Linked DNA regions of Yarrowia lipolytica. The protein of the gene in region 2 purifies or fractionates together with the protein of the main gene of each other region. This does not show direct contact. Links are inferred from orthologs where the notes say so. Each region holds a gene or a part of one and is shown on either strand. Other genes may lie near its edges.

Evidence for each region.
Region 1: the proteins of YALI1_D16206g (region 2) and YALI1_E08021g purify together in Saccharomyces cerevisiae (affinity purification with mass spectrometry; 4 studies listed by BioGRID, with this or other methods). This does not show direct contact. The link is inferred for Yarrowia lipolytica from reciprocal best matches to the Saccharomyces cerevisiae genes BUD20 and AFG2.
Region 3: the proteins of YALI1_D16206g (region 2) and YALI1_A18286g purify together in Saccharomyces cerevisiae (affinity purification with western blotting; 4 studies listed by BioGRID, with this or other methods). This does not show direct contact. The link is inferred for Yarrowia lipolytica from reciprocal best matches to the Saccharomyces cerevisiae genes BUD20 and MEX67.
Region 4: the proteins of YALI1_D16206g (region 2) and YALI1_E33024g purify together in Saccharomyces cerevisiae (affinity purification with mass spectrometry; 4 studies listed by BioGRID, with this or other methods). This does not show direct contact. The link is inferred for Yarrowia lipolytica from reciprocal best matches to the Saccharomyces cerevisiae genes BUD20 and TIF6.

Annotation. Positions count from the first base shown.
Region 1 is NC_090774.1:799,179-804,120, forward strand, and holds YALI1_E08021g (uncharacterized protein), read right to left. Parts: upstream 2,964-4,942; coding exon 516-2,963; downstream 1-515. Other genes in the region: YALI1_E07984g (uncharacterized protein), read left to right, coding at 1-251; YALI1_E08035g (uncharacterized protein), read right to left, coding at 3,578-4,360. UniProt on the Saccharomyces cerevisiae protein: ATP-dependent chaperone which uses the energy provided by ATP hydrolysis to generate mechanical force to disassemble protein complexes.
Region 2 is NC_090773.1:1,619,607-1,622,344, forward strand, and holds YALI1_D16206g (uncharacterized protein), read right to left. Parts: upstream 1,044-2,738; coding exon 525-1,043; downstream 1-524. UniProt on the Saccharomyces cerevisiae protein: Involved in pre-60S ribosomal particles maturation by promoting the nuclear export of the 60S ribosome. Involved in positioning the proximal bud pole signal.
Region 3 is NC_090770.1:1,827,017-1,830,799, reverse strand, and holds YALI1_A18286g (uncharacterized protein), read right to left. Parts: upstream 2,209-3,783; coding exon 538-2,208; downstream 1-537. Other genes in the region: YALI1_A18273g (uncharacterized protein), read left to right, coding at 3,505-3,783. UniProt on the Saccharomyces cerevisiae protein: Involved in the export of mRNA from the nucleus to the cytoplasm.
Region 4 is NC_090774.1:3,301,082-3,304,092, reverse strand, and holds YALI1_E33024g (uncharacterized protein), read left to right. Parts: upstream 1-1,701; coding exon 1,702-2,442; downstream 2,443-3,011. Other genes in the region: YALI1_E33056g (uncharacterized protein), read left to right, coding at 1-1,114. UniProt on the Saccharomyces cerevisiae protein: Binds to the 60S ribosomal subunit and prevents its association with the 40S ribosomal subunit to form the 80S initiation complex in the cytoplasm. Is also involved in ribosome biogenesis.

The DNA.
Region 1 (4,942 bases), on a different chromosome or scaffold from region 2:
TGTATGGCAGTCGGCAGCTGAGTGGCGCTGTGTTCTGCGTCAGTAACGACACTGCCGTGGTGGTGAGCGACAAGAAGACTTTATTTTACTCGCTGGGCACAGAGAAATCCATTGAGGTGGCTTGTGACTTCGTTTCTGGCGTGGAAGCTGCAGCCGTGCGAGCCAAGGGCGATTTGGTGGCTGTGGCAGGAGGACGAGCACTGGTTCTGTTGAATAGTGCTGAAAACGAGAGCAACATTGTGAGACGTTAATCACAGAACCAGTAAGGGGTTTGGATGGAAGGGGAAACATTGGTGAGACTACTTTCAGTCATACGTTAATAGCCATGCCATGTAATTTAATCATAGATTTGAAATTCACTAAAAGCACACATACCGACAGTGAAAGATGCAAGCTGAAGTGTAATCGATTGATGTCTAGCATGCCATATATTAATTGCTTCCCTATATACCGTCATTATAACCTCGTTCTATCCTTATCTATGTGCAATTCCTTATGTTTACCTTTTCGAATGTTTAAGCAGGAGAATTACCCTCAGCCCAGTCAACAAAATACTTGAGCATCTCCTCGGTCACTCCTCTTCGAGCTCCCTTGAGAACATGATCAAAGTCCTTCTTGGTCACCTCCTTGGCATCTTCGTCCTGAGACATTGCGTACAGACCAGCCTCTTCACAGAGAGCAACAATTTCGGCACCGGTCATGCCCTCAGTTGTCTTGGCGATCTCTTCTAGGTCCACCTCGGAGCCCAGGCACATGTTCTTGGTTCGGATCTTGAGAATCTGCTGGCGGGCATGCTCGTCAGGAGGTCCAACGTACAGCAATCTGGACAGACGACCAGGACGCATGAGAGCAGAGTCAATAACGTCAGGTCGGTTAGTAGCAGCCAGAACCATGACTCCGTTGAGAGACTCGATACCGTCCATTTCTGTAAGCAGAGACGTGAGCACTCGTTCTCCTCCAGCGCCTGCCTCAGAATGTCCTCTAGCAGTACTAAGAGCATCAATTTCATCGAAGAAGATGATGGAAGGGGCAGCAGCACGAGCCTTTCGGAAAATCTCACGCACGGCACGTTCACTCTCTCCAACATATTTGTTGAAGAGCTCGGGGCCCTTGACAGACAGGAAGTTGAGACCAGACTCGTTGGCCAGGGCCTTGGCAATGAGAGTCTTGGAACATCCCGGGGGTCCGTACAGAAGAACACCTCTAGGGGGTGTGATTCCGAGGTTTTTCATAGTATCAGCCTTGGTAAGAGGCCACTCGACCATCTGCTTGAGCTTCTCCTTGACTCCAGACTGGCCTCCAATGTCACTCCAGGTGGTGGAGGGCTTCTCGAGGAAGATTTCTCGCATGGCAGATGGTCTGACATCCAGCAGAGCTCGTTCAAGGTCAGGCATGGTGACTTCCAGACCGGAGTTGACAGCGTTCAAAGCACTGCCATGCTCCTCCAGACCTCGGTTGATGGCGTTCATGACTCCTTCTCGACACAGAGCGCTCAGATCGGCTCCGACATAGCCGTGAGTAATGCTAGAAATGTACTGGATGTCTTCTTCGGACATATTGTGAGGCATATCAGCCATTTGGATGCTCAAAATGCTCAGTCGGGCCTCAGCGTTGGGAATGCCAATTTCGACTTCTCTGTCAAACCGGCCAGCTCGTCGCAGAGCAGGATCAATGGCGTTGGGTCGGTTAGTGGAGCCCACAACTACAATCTTGGCAGAAGCAGACTGAGACATACCGTCCATCAGAGTGAGTAGAGTAGCGACAACTCGAGACTCGGCTTGTCCAGACTCGTCTCCGTCTCGTCGAGGTACCAGAGCATCAATCTCGTCAATGAAAACAATAGCTGGCTGGTACTTTCGAGCCTCTTCGAAGATGGCTCGTAAGGACGACTCGGTCTCGCCCAGGTATTTGGATACAATGGATGGCCCGTTGATTGTGAGTACGTGTGCATTTGATTCCTGAGCAACAGCACGCAGCAGCATAGTTTTTCCGGTTCCAGGGGGTCCATGAAGAAGCACTCCTCGAGGTGGCGAGATGCCAAACCTCGAAAACAGAGAGGGATGATGCAGAGGAAGCTCGATGGTAGATTTAAGCTCCACAATGTGTTGATCCAGGCCGCCGATGGACTTGTAAGTAGTAGTTTTGGGTAGCTCCCAGCAGTTTCGAGTTGACACAACCACTTGTGTATCTTCTAGCAGAAACAAGGGAGACCAATATGAAACGTGGTTCTTGAGCTCAGATTGTTCCAGTGATAAGGATCCAAGATCTGTGTCGCCAACGTCTGTCACTGTGACGTTCACGTACTCGCCAGACTCGATCTTCACCTCCATACTGAGTCCTGGAGACACCATGGCCAGCTTCTTGAGATCGGTAGTTGTAGCATCAATAACAGCCTGTTCAGGGGAATTGGGTGTGTTTATCCGCACACTGACCAAACTCGCCATGTCCATCTTGGTCTTATATCTCTCCACTTTGACTCGATCTCCAAACAGGAGAGCTCCTGCGTCCTTGAGTCCTGCACTCACGGTAACCACGTTGATGTCGACAAGATCGGGGTCCTCCACAGCCTCGGGGATGGCGCAAACGGTTCCTCCTACTCCCCGATCACCCTCACGGTACACAGACACAAACTCGTTGTTATTGAGACCCAGAGCCTCGAGAATCTTTGGATGCAATCCAACCTTGTAGATGTTCTTGTTGTGCGTCACGGCGGCTTGGGTCTCTCCCTGGGGACGCACGATAAACAGATCGGGGATCTTGACGGGCTTTTCTTTCACCTCGCCATCGTCCTTGGTCGAAGACGACTTTTTCTTGCTGGTAGACGAGCTTTTGGGCGCCATGGTGATGATGATAAGAAAATTAAAAATTGTGCATGAAATTATGCAAGCTAAAGGGAGCTTATTGATGAAGGCGGGGTGGGACAGTGATAGATATGGGAAGAGATGAGGTTGAATAGTAGACATTTTTGGTGTCAAATAGGAATATTTTTGAGCTCAAAAATTGATCGAAGCTATCTAAAATCGAATCTGCTTCCAAATGGACGAGATAGAGCGTCTGTATCGTGTTACTTATATATTTTGAGAGATAAAAGTTTGAGAACAAGGTAATGTGATTTAAACCACTAGTTAGTTACTAATATAAAAACAATCGATCTCTTCTGAAAGAAACTGGATGAGTTACATACTGTTGTTGTGAAGACACTCTGTTTGCACGTCCAGTCAATAAATAGACCGCTATGGAGCTTATTTGGGTATGCCCTTTTGAATGATAGCGACAGTGAGCTACCTTTTGTATACAAGTTTTTATTGAATATAAATAACTATTGACAATTTGTCTATTTACAGTGCAGCCCTTTCTGCTGTTGTGGCTATTACCCGTCACGTCGTGTTCCATTCATGCCGATCGTTGTTGTCCCCCTACAAGTAGGTGTTTCATACCCAGATCCATCGGTTCAGGCTCGGTCTGGGACATGTCCTAGTGGCCAACTCAACAAGAACCCGTGGATAGATGGAGATTTACCAGCCTGCTCGTTGCCGTTTGTTTCTATGAGTTTTGACATCTTCAACGCAATACTGCCTTAAACCAAAGTCATTAAACCAGAAGTCATGTAGCCCTCCAAAATCACTTCATGAACAAACTCCTCGGCCTTCACCCCACCATGCTCAATATGGATACTTGCAATTAGCGCAAACAGCATCTTGGTGGCATAGTGAGTATCATGCATTTTCCTAAACGCCTGTCTCTTGTTGGCATTTTCTTCCGGAAGAGGCACGTATAGCGACTTGATGAGTTTCGTGTTCTTGACAAACGCAAGCACCAGGGTCTCGTCACGAGTAAGTCGGTCAGCCAGGCCGCTTCGACAAATGTCAAAGTTCATCAGGTTGGCCTTCTTTCGACTCCAACTGGGTACCTTTGTCAGGTAGCTGAAAACAGCAAATTTGTATGCATGTTGGCCCAAAAGAACACGCGAGTTGATAGCTCCGTATCCCAGTGTGTCTTCAATGTGGGTCTTTTGTGTCTGAAACGGCGTGCCCTTTCTTTGAGCGCTAGGTGTAAGCGTATGTGAAATGCACAGAAGCTCTCTGATCACAGCCTCAGGAAGCTCGTATTTGGGTCCGATGAAATCCTGAACGTAGCGTACAGATTCGATGTCGATTGTGACCATCTTGAGTTCCAGCAACGAGTGGACATCGGAGTAGAGGATTTCTTTGATTGGCGACAGAGGCGAAAGTCGAGTTCGGTATGAGGGCTGAGTGTCGGAGGTTAGATAATGACTGGATCGTGTCCAGCGGGAGAAGCTGTGGTGTATGAGTGGATTTGCGCGCGAGATCTGCGGCCTAAGTCCTTTTAATGACTGCATTGTTGTGGATGGAAGTCTGGGTGCCACTTGAATTTGGTGATACAAAATAATTTGAGTTGGGAGGTTACAGTAAACGGTGAAGGACGTCCATACGTGATGGGGGTGTAATTGGGGTGGCTATAAGTGGCTGTCTACGAAGAGCGGGAGGGTATTCTAAGAGATTTGAGTGACTATTAAGGGAGTTTGAATAGAGTGAGTTATTTTCTATACTCAAAGTAAGCCGTTATTGTAGTGTTTGTGTGATGTGACATATTCTCCCCTCTATCCAAGTCCTTTTAAAAATTCCGTTTGTTGAGATCAAGTCCAGAACACCCAACTAACTCCTGCATACTTCAAGTACGAAATAAGGGTCTGGGGGTCTCAAAATATTCTTTCATTCTAGCCCAATATTGAACATTTTTGAGATTTGAAAAAAAGGAATATATAAAATAAACGAGTAGAACTGAGTATAGCACCTTTAAAACCTTCTACCACGCTTCAAGACCCACTTCTTCAATCCCCTAAACCCCCTTCTCCACCAATAGAGTTTGTAATTTTTCCACACGTTTTTCTCCCAACTCGCGAGGGTTAGGTTTCCAACCC
Region 2 (2,738 bases):
ACTCGTCATCTTTCTCGAATGTCTCTAGCAAAAGTTATAGACACATGGAAAAAAACGCTCAACATACACAACTTTGCACGGTAGATGTGCTACAGAGCACTCAGAATGATGAATGAAGTTGGAATGGGCTCTTCAGGTCCTGATTACCACCATCTGAGAAACCACCTATAGGTATTCGGCTTTCTGTGAGTTCGCTATCGTTACAAAACTCACTATCTGGTGTCCATCTGCTGCCAATAGCACTCTGTCCGAGGCTCATCGTAATCAATAATATATTGTCTATCATGGCCTATCCATTTCTGTTAATAATGCTATTGTCATAATCCATTTGATCCAGCAGTGAGTGATTTCTAAGTCCCATGCTACATCCCTCGGTCCAGAGAGATGGAATTGAGTAATTTGTGAATGAATGATTAGTGAATGCCGTGAAAAATGGCTGAATGACTGAGTTGTTTCGAATGACTAGCATCCAACGAACATCACAAATCCTCGCAGGCTCAGATTCCTGTGATTTTCTAAGCCTCCTAAGCCATATCCTCATCCTTGGTCTCGGGAATCACCCCTTTGTCCTCCTCCTCGGCCTCCTTTTCTCGGGCGATTCGCAACGCCTCCTGCTCACGAGCAAAACTGCTTGCCGCCTTGGCCTGCTCCACCTCCTCAAGACTGCCACGATCTGTCAACATGGTGGTCACCTCCTCCTCATCCAGACGCTTCTTATCAACATCATTTCGAGCCAGGTATCGCGCCACATTGTTTCCAGCAGCCATATTGGCCTCCTCCTGGGTGTATGGCACCTCGCGGATCTCCTTGAGCCGTCGTTTGTGCACCTTGCCCCGGATGTGTGTCTGTTTGGCAAACTCGGTTTCGAAATACCGAGCGCACGGAATACAGTAGAACTGCGCCAGTCCGGGCTTCTCCTCGTCGTACTCCTGGTTGTGCAGAGCCTTGATCGACTGCGACGTGTTCATGTCGTCCCGCAGAATCTGGTCCAGATCTCGGGTTCGACGTTTCGTCTTGTACATCATTCGCGATGGTCTTCCCATGGTTGTTTCTTGCTTTTTGTGTCACTAGAGTCGCTTGCGGTGTGGTGCGAGAGTGTCGATATTTCCGTATGCACGTTTACAGATTTTTTCTACTTAGAGTTTGGAGTTTAATAAAATGGAAAATGTTTAAATAAAATAGATTTTTTTGGAAAATGTTAAAATATTTTTTGGAAAATGGATTTTTTTGACAAAATTGAGAAAATCGAGAAAATAGCCAATTTGAATAATTGGACGACTTGAGGGACGGTATATGACGGTTTGGGCCATTATGTGTGCACCTGCGGTTTCAGTTTTTCAATAAGGACACTGGTTGAGCTGGGATGAGCACTACAAGTACAAGTACGAGTACACGCCTGGTTAACCGGGTTCAATGAGATGAATATAAAAGATAGGGAGTTTCAGAAAAGTGCATTTTGTTCTCAATAACGACTTTACTTTGTTGTCCATTCTTCGTTTCGACACTGTTTTATGGCGTCCATTGGAACGTCCTTTTTACACGCACCAGACACAAGGCACCAGGCTCAATACCACAAGTACGAATACGATACAAGTACGAACTATACAAGTTTGTGGTGTTTGAATTATTCATCCTCTTTTCATTGATCTATTACATCTTTTACCTCTGTATAGATGGTCTTGATTGTTTTTACTATGTTGATCATTGGAGATTTCCTCGCAAACCCCCCACGAGCTTCTCAGCCAGATTCTGGTCCACCTGAGTATCGTAGTCACGAAAGGGATCAAGAGATTGTTGTCTGATTGGATGACCGTTATTGCGACTCCAACAAGTATTACGAGAAGTCTGCGGTCTTGTTCTGTTCATGGTCCCATTCTGGTCAGAGTCAACAGACGAGATCGGATTGCTCTGACACCACTAGAGATGGCAGGGGTGAGAAAAAAACGAGTTTGGCAATGACCGATAGATTACTAGTTTGGTTTACTCTTGCCTCGGTAGATTCGTACATTGGCCATAAGCCCCTTGGATGGAACAAGTACCAGCGGCTACTACAATCTCACATACTCCATTGCACGGAGGCCCATTGTGAACCCATTGTGAGAAAGAGCTGTTCAGAGTGGGCAGCACAAATCACCAGAGTCGTGCCAACATCTCTGTAGTTGATCCAGGGCCCTTGGAGGGTGTGTCTGTCCCTGGTAACATCAATGGAGCGATAGTTGAGTAGCCAATCTCCAGTAGCTCAGATAACGCTATGTATACTGAGTAAATGAATTGCATGTATGAGTTCGATGGACCTCATTGACGCCATTTCTGTCTGGTTTCGCAGCTCTGGGGTATTCGCAACGGGAGCCCTACTGGTCACTTGCCTCGATCTCTGCCTCGATCTCTGCCGTGACCATTCATAAATGGTGTCTCAATGGGTATGTTGGAGTCATATCGCACTCCTACTCGGGCTGATACGATCGTCTTTTTGATCAAATGTTTAGACAAGACGAGCATCCAAACCCGCCATCAGATCCTTCTCAACTACAATGCGGGAAGAAGGACCTACATAATGATACAATGAATCGAATCCCTCTTGTTCAGATCGACGATGAAAAAAAAAAAAAAAAAAAAAAAAACTATTATATAATATGGAAGCTCGGCAATTAACTGATTGACGGTCAACTCGACCATGCGCTTCCACAATTTCTGCTTGTGACAACTGCTGTTGGTGATTATGAAACTCGCCAATGCAG
Region 3 (3,783 bases), on a different chromosome or scaffold from region 2:
CAAAGTGTGTATTTATTCTAATATACGGATTGTAGATTGTGACCCTTGAACACTGTAAGACCAGGGTCACAAATCATCTACAAGTAGACGAAAGAAAATTGCTCAGAATGGAAATATAGATACACAATTGTGTGGCTCTCAGCACAAGCATCATTTTGGTGTATATATATTTACAACTTTCTATACAAAAAGTTGAACTAATCGAGTACAACGGAGCCAAATGAAACATACTACAAGTACAGTACTTGTAGAGATAATCCTTGATCCAGAATCCAAATTAGGTCACGTGACCACATAAAAATGTGTCTAGGATCGCTTCACTTGCCTATCTACAACTACTCACACATGTTCACACCAAAGATTGTTTCAATTGATCAATAAATTACTTTTACATGTTTGGCAGGATATGCTCATTCATTTCAAATTAACTACATGCTTGTGAGAGCGTAGTGTATGCGGTAATACATACGGTACTCTGTTTGCTGTCTCATAATGCACACACGAATGCCTCCTGTCTCCTGTACGGTTGGGCCCCGGTTAAGACATAAACGCATCTGGGGGCAACGAGCCTCCCTCCTGGGCCTGTTTGAACAATGCCATGGTCTGTTCCGGAACAAATCCGGCCTGCTCAGCACACATTCGCGCGTACCTTGCATTTAGACGGGTGGCTTCCATGAGCTGTCTGACAATGAGAGCCTGATCGGGGTTGAGACCGGCAAAGTCGTCCCCAGGAGCTCCACCAGTTGCTCCAGTCATGGCTGCACTGGTCCATCCGTCTTTTCCGGCGTAGGATCTGACCATGAGAGTATCGGAGGCGATGATCATACTTCCGTTGGGGCCAGGGAGAAGCACAAACGTTCTGTCGAACGACCGGGTGTCGCTCTTGTTGCCAATAATGTTTTCCTCGTACTCGCCGTGCACAGACGCAAAAATGGCTGTGTCTTGCGGCTCTCGCACACCATTGAGAGTCCATGCGTCAATGGCAAACTTTGAGGGGTCTCCGAGATCGTGTTTCGTCTTAGGCAGGCGAGTAAAGGCTCTTCCAATCTGTTCAGGACCCACATAGAGTCGGTTGGTTCGAGCCGAGGCTGTGGTCACCTTGGTCATGTTTCGTGACAGCGGAATGTATTGGCCCCAGGGAGGCTGACCGAGACCCTTGACCATTGTTCGGGGTGTGTTTGAGCAGATGGCGACCGAGAAAGTCGATTGTGGGTCGTACAGCTGCAACAGCTGCTGTCGGTCTGTGTCGTAGAGCTGGAAGTAGTTGGCGAGAAAGCCGCCGACCATTTGCTGGATGTTGTCATTTTCAAAAAACGTTTGCCGTAGAGGGATGGGGTACTTGACTTTTCCAATCTGCGACTCGTCTCGAATCACATGGCTGTCCAGAACAATGAGCCTGGGGAACAGCTGCGCCACCTGCTGCTGGTAGTCGGGTTGGTTGGTGATGGGGTTGCCCACAAGGACCAATTCTCGCAGCGACTTGAACTTGTGTCTCCACGACTCGAGGTCGGTGATGCGGGCAATCTGGTTGTTGGCTAGCGACAGATTCTTAAGCTCCGGATACGTCTGAGACAGCGTCGTGATGCCGGCAATGTCGCTGATGCTGTTGTGGCCCAGATCCACCGAGTCCACCACGGGGTAGGTGTCGCCTGCAATCTTGAGCAGCGCCAGAAACATCTTTGATCCTCGCTCAGTGGTGGCCAAAAGGCCATTCTCAATCAGATACTGGTCCTGGCCCATGCCTGCAAGGTTCAGCAGCTTGTCCTCGGCGCTGTATCTGCTTTCAAGGAACCGTTTGAGCGTTTCGATCGTGGACTGCGCAGCAGCCGAGGGTCCATCTTTGACTGTGATTTGCAGAGCCTGGCCTGCAAACCGGCGCCCGGACCATTGTCCAATCGCACGGGCGTCCGTGTTTTTGACTCGGGCCTTGATCACGTCGCCATCCACGTACGGGTTCTGCAACCGGAACCCGCCCTTGTCCTGGAGAAACCGTACAAGATCGTCCTTAGGCGCGTTCGTCCACCCTCGGACCTCAATGTCCGTCAGATTGCTGTTGTTGCTGTTGTTGTTGTTGTCGCGGCCGCCGCTATTGTTGTAGCCGCCTCGGCCTCGTCCGCGTCCTCGATAACTCATTGTTTGTGGTGGTACTGGTGAAACGAAAATGAAAATGCACGCCAATTTAAAAAAGTGTAGTTTTTGCTTGTGCATGAGAATCGAGACCTGCGCCAAATGTCCTTGTAGAAGCAGTGGGACGTGTCTAGAGTCAAAAGAGGGATAATAATTCAGCTATTTGACGCTTGAATATCAAGGGTATCAATTTTCACGCCCAAAAACAAACATTTCCCCAAGTAAAAGATCAGTTTCAGTTTCAGTCTCCACTAGATTTAAACTCGTAGTTGAAATATTGTCAGGGTTAACCAGAAAAAGAAAAATAAATAAAAATAAATAAAAAGAAAAACAAAAAAGTCGAGAGAGAAAAAAGCGAGAAAAAAGCGAGAAAAAAGCGAGAAAAAAGCGTGAAAAAAGAAAAGAATGCAAGTTGAAATATGGCTGATAACGCGACGAGCTGATAAATGTCCTGCTCTGAATTAATTGAAGAGAATACCAAATGGGTGGTATAACTCGAAGACTTCATTATATAGCCATACGTCAACCATAGTAAATGTAAATACAGTACAAACCTACATACAGTTGTAGGGTTCACACTGTACTATACACCCACTATCAAGACTGGACAAACTCCGTCAAAGTTGATCCGGTTCCAATAAAAAACTCATAAGGAGAATAAGTTGGCCATTTCAAACAATAAGATACCATATAACCCTGGAAAAGTTCGCTCTCCAGGTCTCCATCACTCTCCCTATACACACTCACATACTCGTACTAATCCAAATTCAAACCTCCTCGGAAAAGTCAATCAATCACGCTGGAAAAACACCTTATGAGATGTGATTCCTACGTCAAAAACACAGGTTAGGACTGTTTCGTCGTATTCCATCCCCGCTGCATGACTCGCAAATTCGTCCTGCTCTCGTCTTTTCTTCAGACAGCAAAAACTTGCCCATCTACAAGTACAGTACAGTACAGTACAGTACATACATACATACGCGCGCGCCGCCATTGCAAGCAGGATGAAGAAGAGGAGGACGAGGAGGACGGAACGGCGTGGAGATGTGGGGCACCTGGTCTACAAGTGCGGCCGTAATGTGTTATACATTTGGTCACACGACTTCCCAGACCCGGTCATGTCACAATTGATTCTCAGGAACTCGTGTTTTCGCCTTCTGTCCCCAGCTCCATGTCCATCTGAGCTACAATGAATAATAAACTGAACTATATAAATTCACACTTTTTTATATTTTATATTTTTATTCCACCCTGTTCTTGATCTACAATGCAACCCTTACCCTTGAAAAGTAGTGTGCGATTGACCACAGTATAAGGGGGAAGGAGGGAGCCTCAGAAACAAACAGTCACGTGAAATCAAGTCACGTGACAATACACATGACCAAAAAAACAACAACACCGCCTATTCCCATAAAATTACTCCAGTCTGTTCGCCATTTCTACTCCTCCTCCACCTACTGTATCTACTTTGCCAAACCTTACTTTAACTACACGTCACACTCCCAACCACAGTTGTCATCTACAGACTGTACATCACACATCTTTGGTTCTTTCCACAACACAGACTCAAAAATGCCTTCGTACTCTTATGACGAAGAGTCGGACGTGTGGCCATACTTTGCGGTCACGTTGGGCTCACTGGTGCTAGTCCCCTGG
Region 4 (3,011 bases), on a different chromosome or scaffold from region 2:
TGAGCTTGAAGAGGAGAATGCCGCTAAGGAGAAGTCCATGATCAAGGACGTTGTTGGCGCCGACCAGGTAGCTGAGACTGCGGCTCGACTGACTGGTATCCCTGTCACCAAGCTGACCCAGGCCGAGAACACCAAGCTCATCAACATGGAGAAGGTGCTTTCTCGAGAAGTTGTTGGCCAACCCGAGGCTGTCAAGGCCGTTTCCAACGCGATCAGACTGTCTCGATCGGGTCTTGCCAACCCCAACGCCCCCGCTTCTTTCCTTTTCCTTGGTCTCTCCGGTTCCGGTAAGACTGAGCTTGCCAAGAAGCTGGCAGGTTTCCTGTTTGCTGACGAGCAGGCCATGATCCGAATCGACTGTTCCGAGCTCATGGACAAGCACTCCGGCTCCAAGCTGATTGGTGCTGCTCCCGGATACGTTGGATACGAGGAGGGTGGTATTCTTACCGAGGCCCTGATCCGAAAGCCCTACTCCGTTGTGTTGTTCGATGAGGTTGAGAAGGCTGCTCCCGAGGTGCTCACTGTTCTTCTGCAGGTTCTTGATGATGGTCGAGTGCGATCTTCCGCCGGAAAGGTGGTCAACGCATCCAACTGTATCATTATCATGACTTCCAACCTGGGTGCGGAGTTCATCAACCGATCGACCTCGACTACCATTGACCAGTCCACTCGAGACCTGGTCATGGAGGCTGTCAAGGGCCACTTCCGACCCGAGTTTCTCAACCGAATCACCGCTATGGTTGTCTTCAACCGGCTGTCTAAGAAGTCCATTCGACGAATCATCAACATTCGTCTCCATGAGATTTCGAAGCGATTCGAGCACAACAACCGAAACCTCAAACTTCATCTCGATGAGGACGCCATGGACTACCTGGTGGAGAACGGTTACAGCCCCGACCTCGGTGCTCGACCTCTCAACCGACTCATCCAGAACGAGGTTCTCAACAAGCTTGCTGTCATGCTTCTGAAGCACCAGATTAAGGACGGCGAGGAGGTCCGAATCATCCGAGGAGACAAGGGTCTGGAGATTCTGCCCAACCATGACGGCGAGACGGACATGGAGCTGGCTGAAGATTCCTACGATGACTTTGACGACGAGATGGATCTCGACTAAGGTATTTTTTGCTAGGAGGTAGCTAAATATTGTATAAAATAATGAATTAACTGTATAAATGGATCGCTGTATCTCTACAGTAGTGTGTACAGTAACACGAACTGTGGTGGGTAATGATAGAAGAAATGAGAGTAAAACCGAATATTCTGAAAGGGACATTTCGCCCCACCCTTGGTCTGCTTACTAACTGAGTCAATCTCCGATCACAGTCTGAGCCAATGGAGGTATTACAATATATTCCGTAGTAAGTCGATATTCAATTCAAGTATGAGTCCACAAACAGTCGGACTATCTTGTTGTTACATGAATACGATCCGCCACCATACGTACCAAACAGCCTGCCGCAAGACACACACACAATCTACACATATATCGCCACCGGCCCATCACAGTTGCATACTGTCTGCACGTATGACATGACAAGAACTACACGTTGACGAGATCAGTCACAGTATACTCCAGCACGCAGCTGAGCTGCACGGTCATGAAAAAATTGTGCTGCAATGCAAAACATAAAGATAGGCAGTATCCACCGCAAGCCTGAATAACCACACTTCACCCCTTATTCAAAAAAATCAATCAACATAATGGCTACCCGTGCCCAGTTTGAAAACTCTGACGAGATTGGTGTCTTTTCCAAGCTCACCAACTCCTACTGTCTGGTGGCTGTTGGCGGCTCCGAGAACTTCTACAGCTCTTTCGAGGCCGAGCTCCAAGATACCATTCCTATTGTCTACTCCACCATTGGCGGCACCCGACTCGTGGGCCGTCTCACAGCCGGCAACCGACGAGGTCTGCTTGTGCCCTCCACCACTTCGGATGTTGAGCTGCAGCACCTGCGAAACTCCCTGCCCGACGAGGTCAAGATCCAGCGAGTTGAGGAGCGTCTATCTGCTCTTGGAAACGTCATCTGTACCAACGACTACGCCGCTCTTGTGCATCCCGATATCGAGCGAGAGACCGAAGAGCTGATTGCCGATGTGCTTGGTGTTGAGGTCTTCCGACAGACTGTTGCTGGAAATGTGCTTGTCGGCTCTTACTGTGCCCTGTCCAACCAGGGAGGTATTGTCCACCCCCAGACCTCCATTGAGGACCAGGATGAGCTTTCTTCGCTTCTCCAGGTCCCCCTGATTGCTGGATCCGTCAACCGAGGTTCTCCTGTTGTCGGCGCTGGCTGTGTTGTCAACGACTGGATGGCCGTTGCTGGTTACGCCACCACCTCTTTCGAGCTTACTGTCATGAGCAGTATATTCAAGCTCAACAACGACCAGCAGGGCGAGCAGTGGGAGCAGACCAAGTGGTCCCAGCTGTACCAGCAGATGGGTTAAGCACAGCCAGTCTGCTTCTCCTCGTCAACACACTGGTGTGCTGGCTGCAGTGCGAGCTCTACTCAACAGCGAGCATCGCTTAAACTATTATGCATTATGTATTTGGCATGGCCTGACTTCAAAATATGGGTGTGTCTCCAACGGATCAGTATTCCTTTGCATGGCACTATTCGCAGTTTTAATTAGATAGATAATACAAGCTGCCAAGGTGGGATTGTGTACCTGTACCGGTACTTGTAATGAGAGTAGGGTGTGGTATGACAGTGTACTATAACGAATGTCTTTGTAATTGTCTTCCTCCGATGTACTTCAGTGGTCACACACTGCTTATGGAAATAACGTAAGACGTTCCTTAGAAACACGCGCTTGAAGTCACCTCTGTACAGTAGTTTTCTTACATTAAGAAAATCCCACGTTGAAAAATGCTCCAAGCTTCAGCCACTAATGATAAATACTACTGTAGATGAGTTGTATCGTGAAGTCATGAGATCAGTGATTGTTGAAATGTACATGAGAAATCCAAGTAAAGCGGTCAAGCTTGTTGACTTGACCAACTGGGGCGTGTGTCT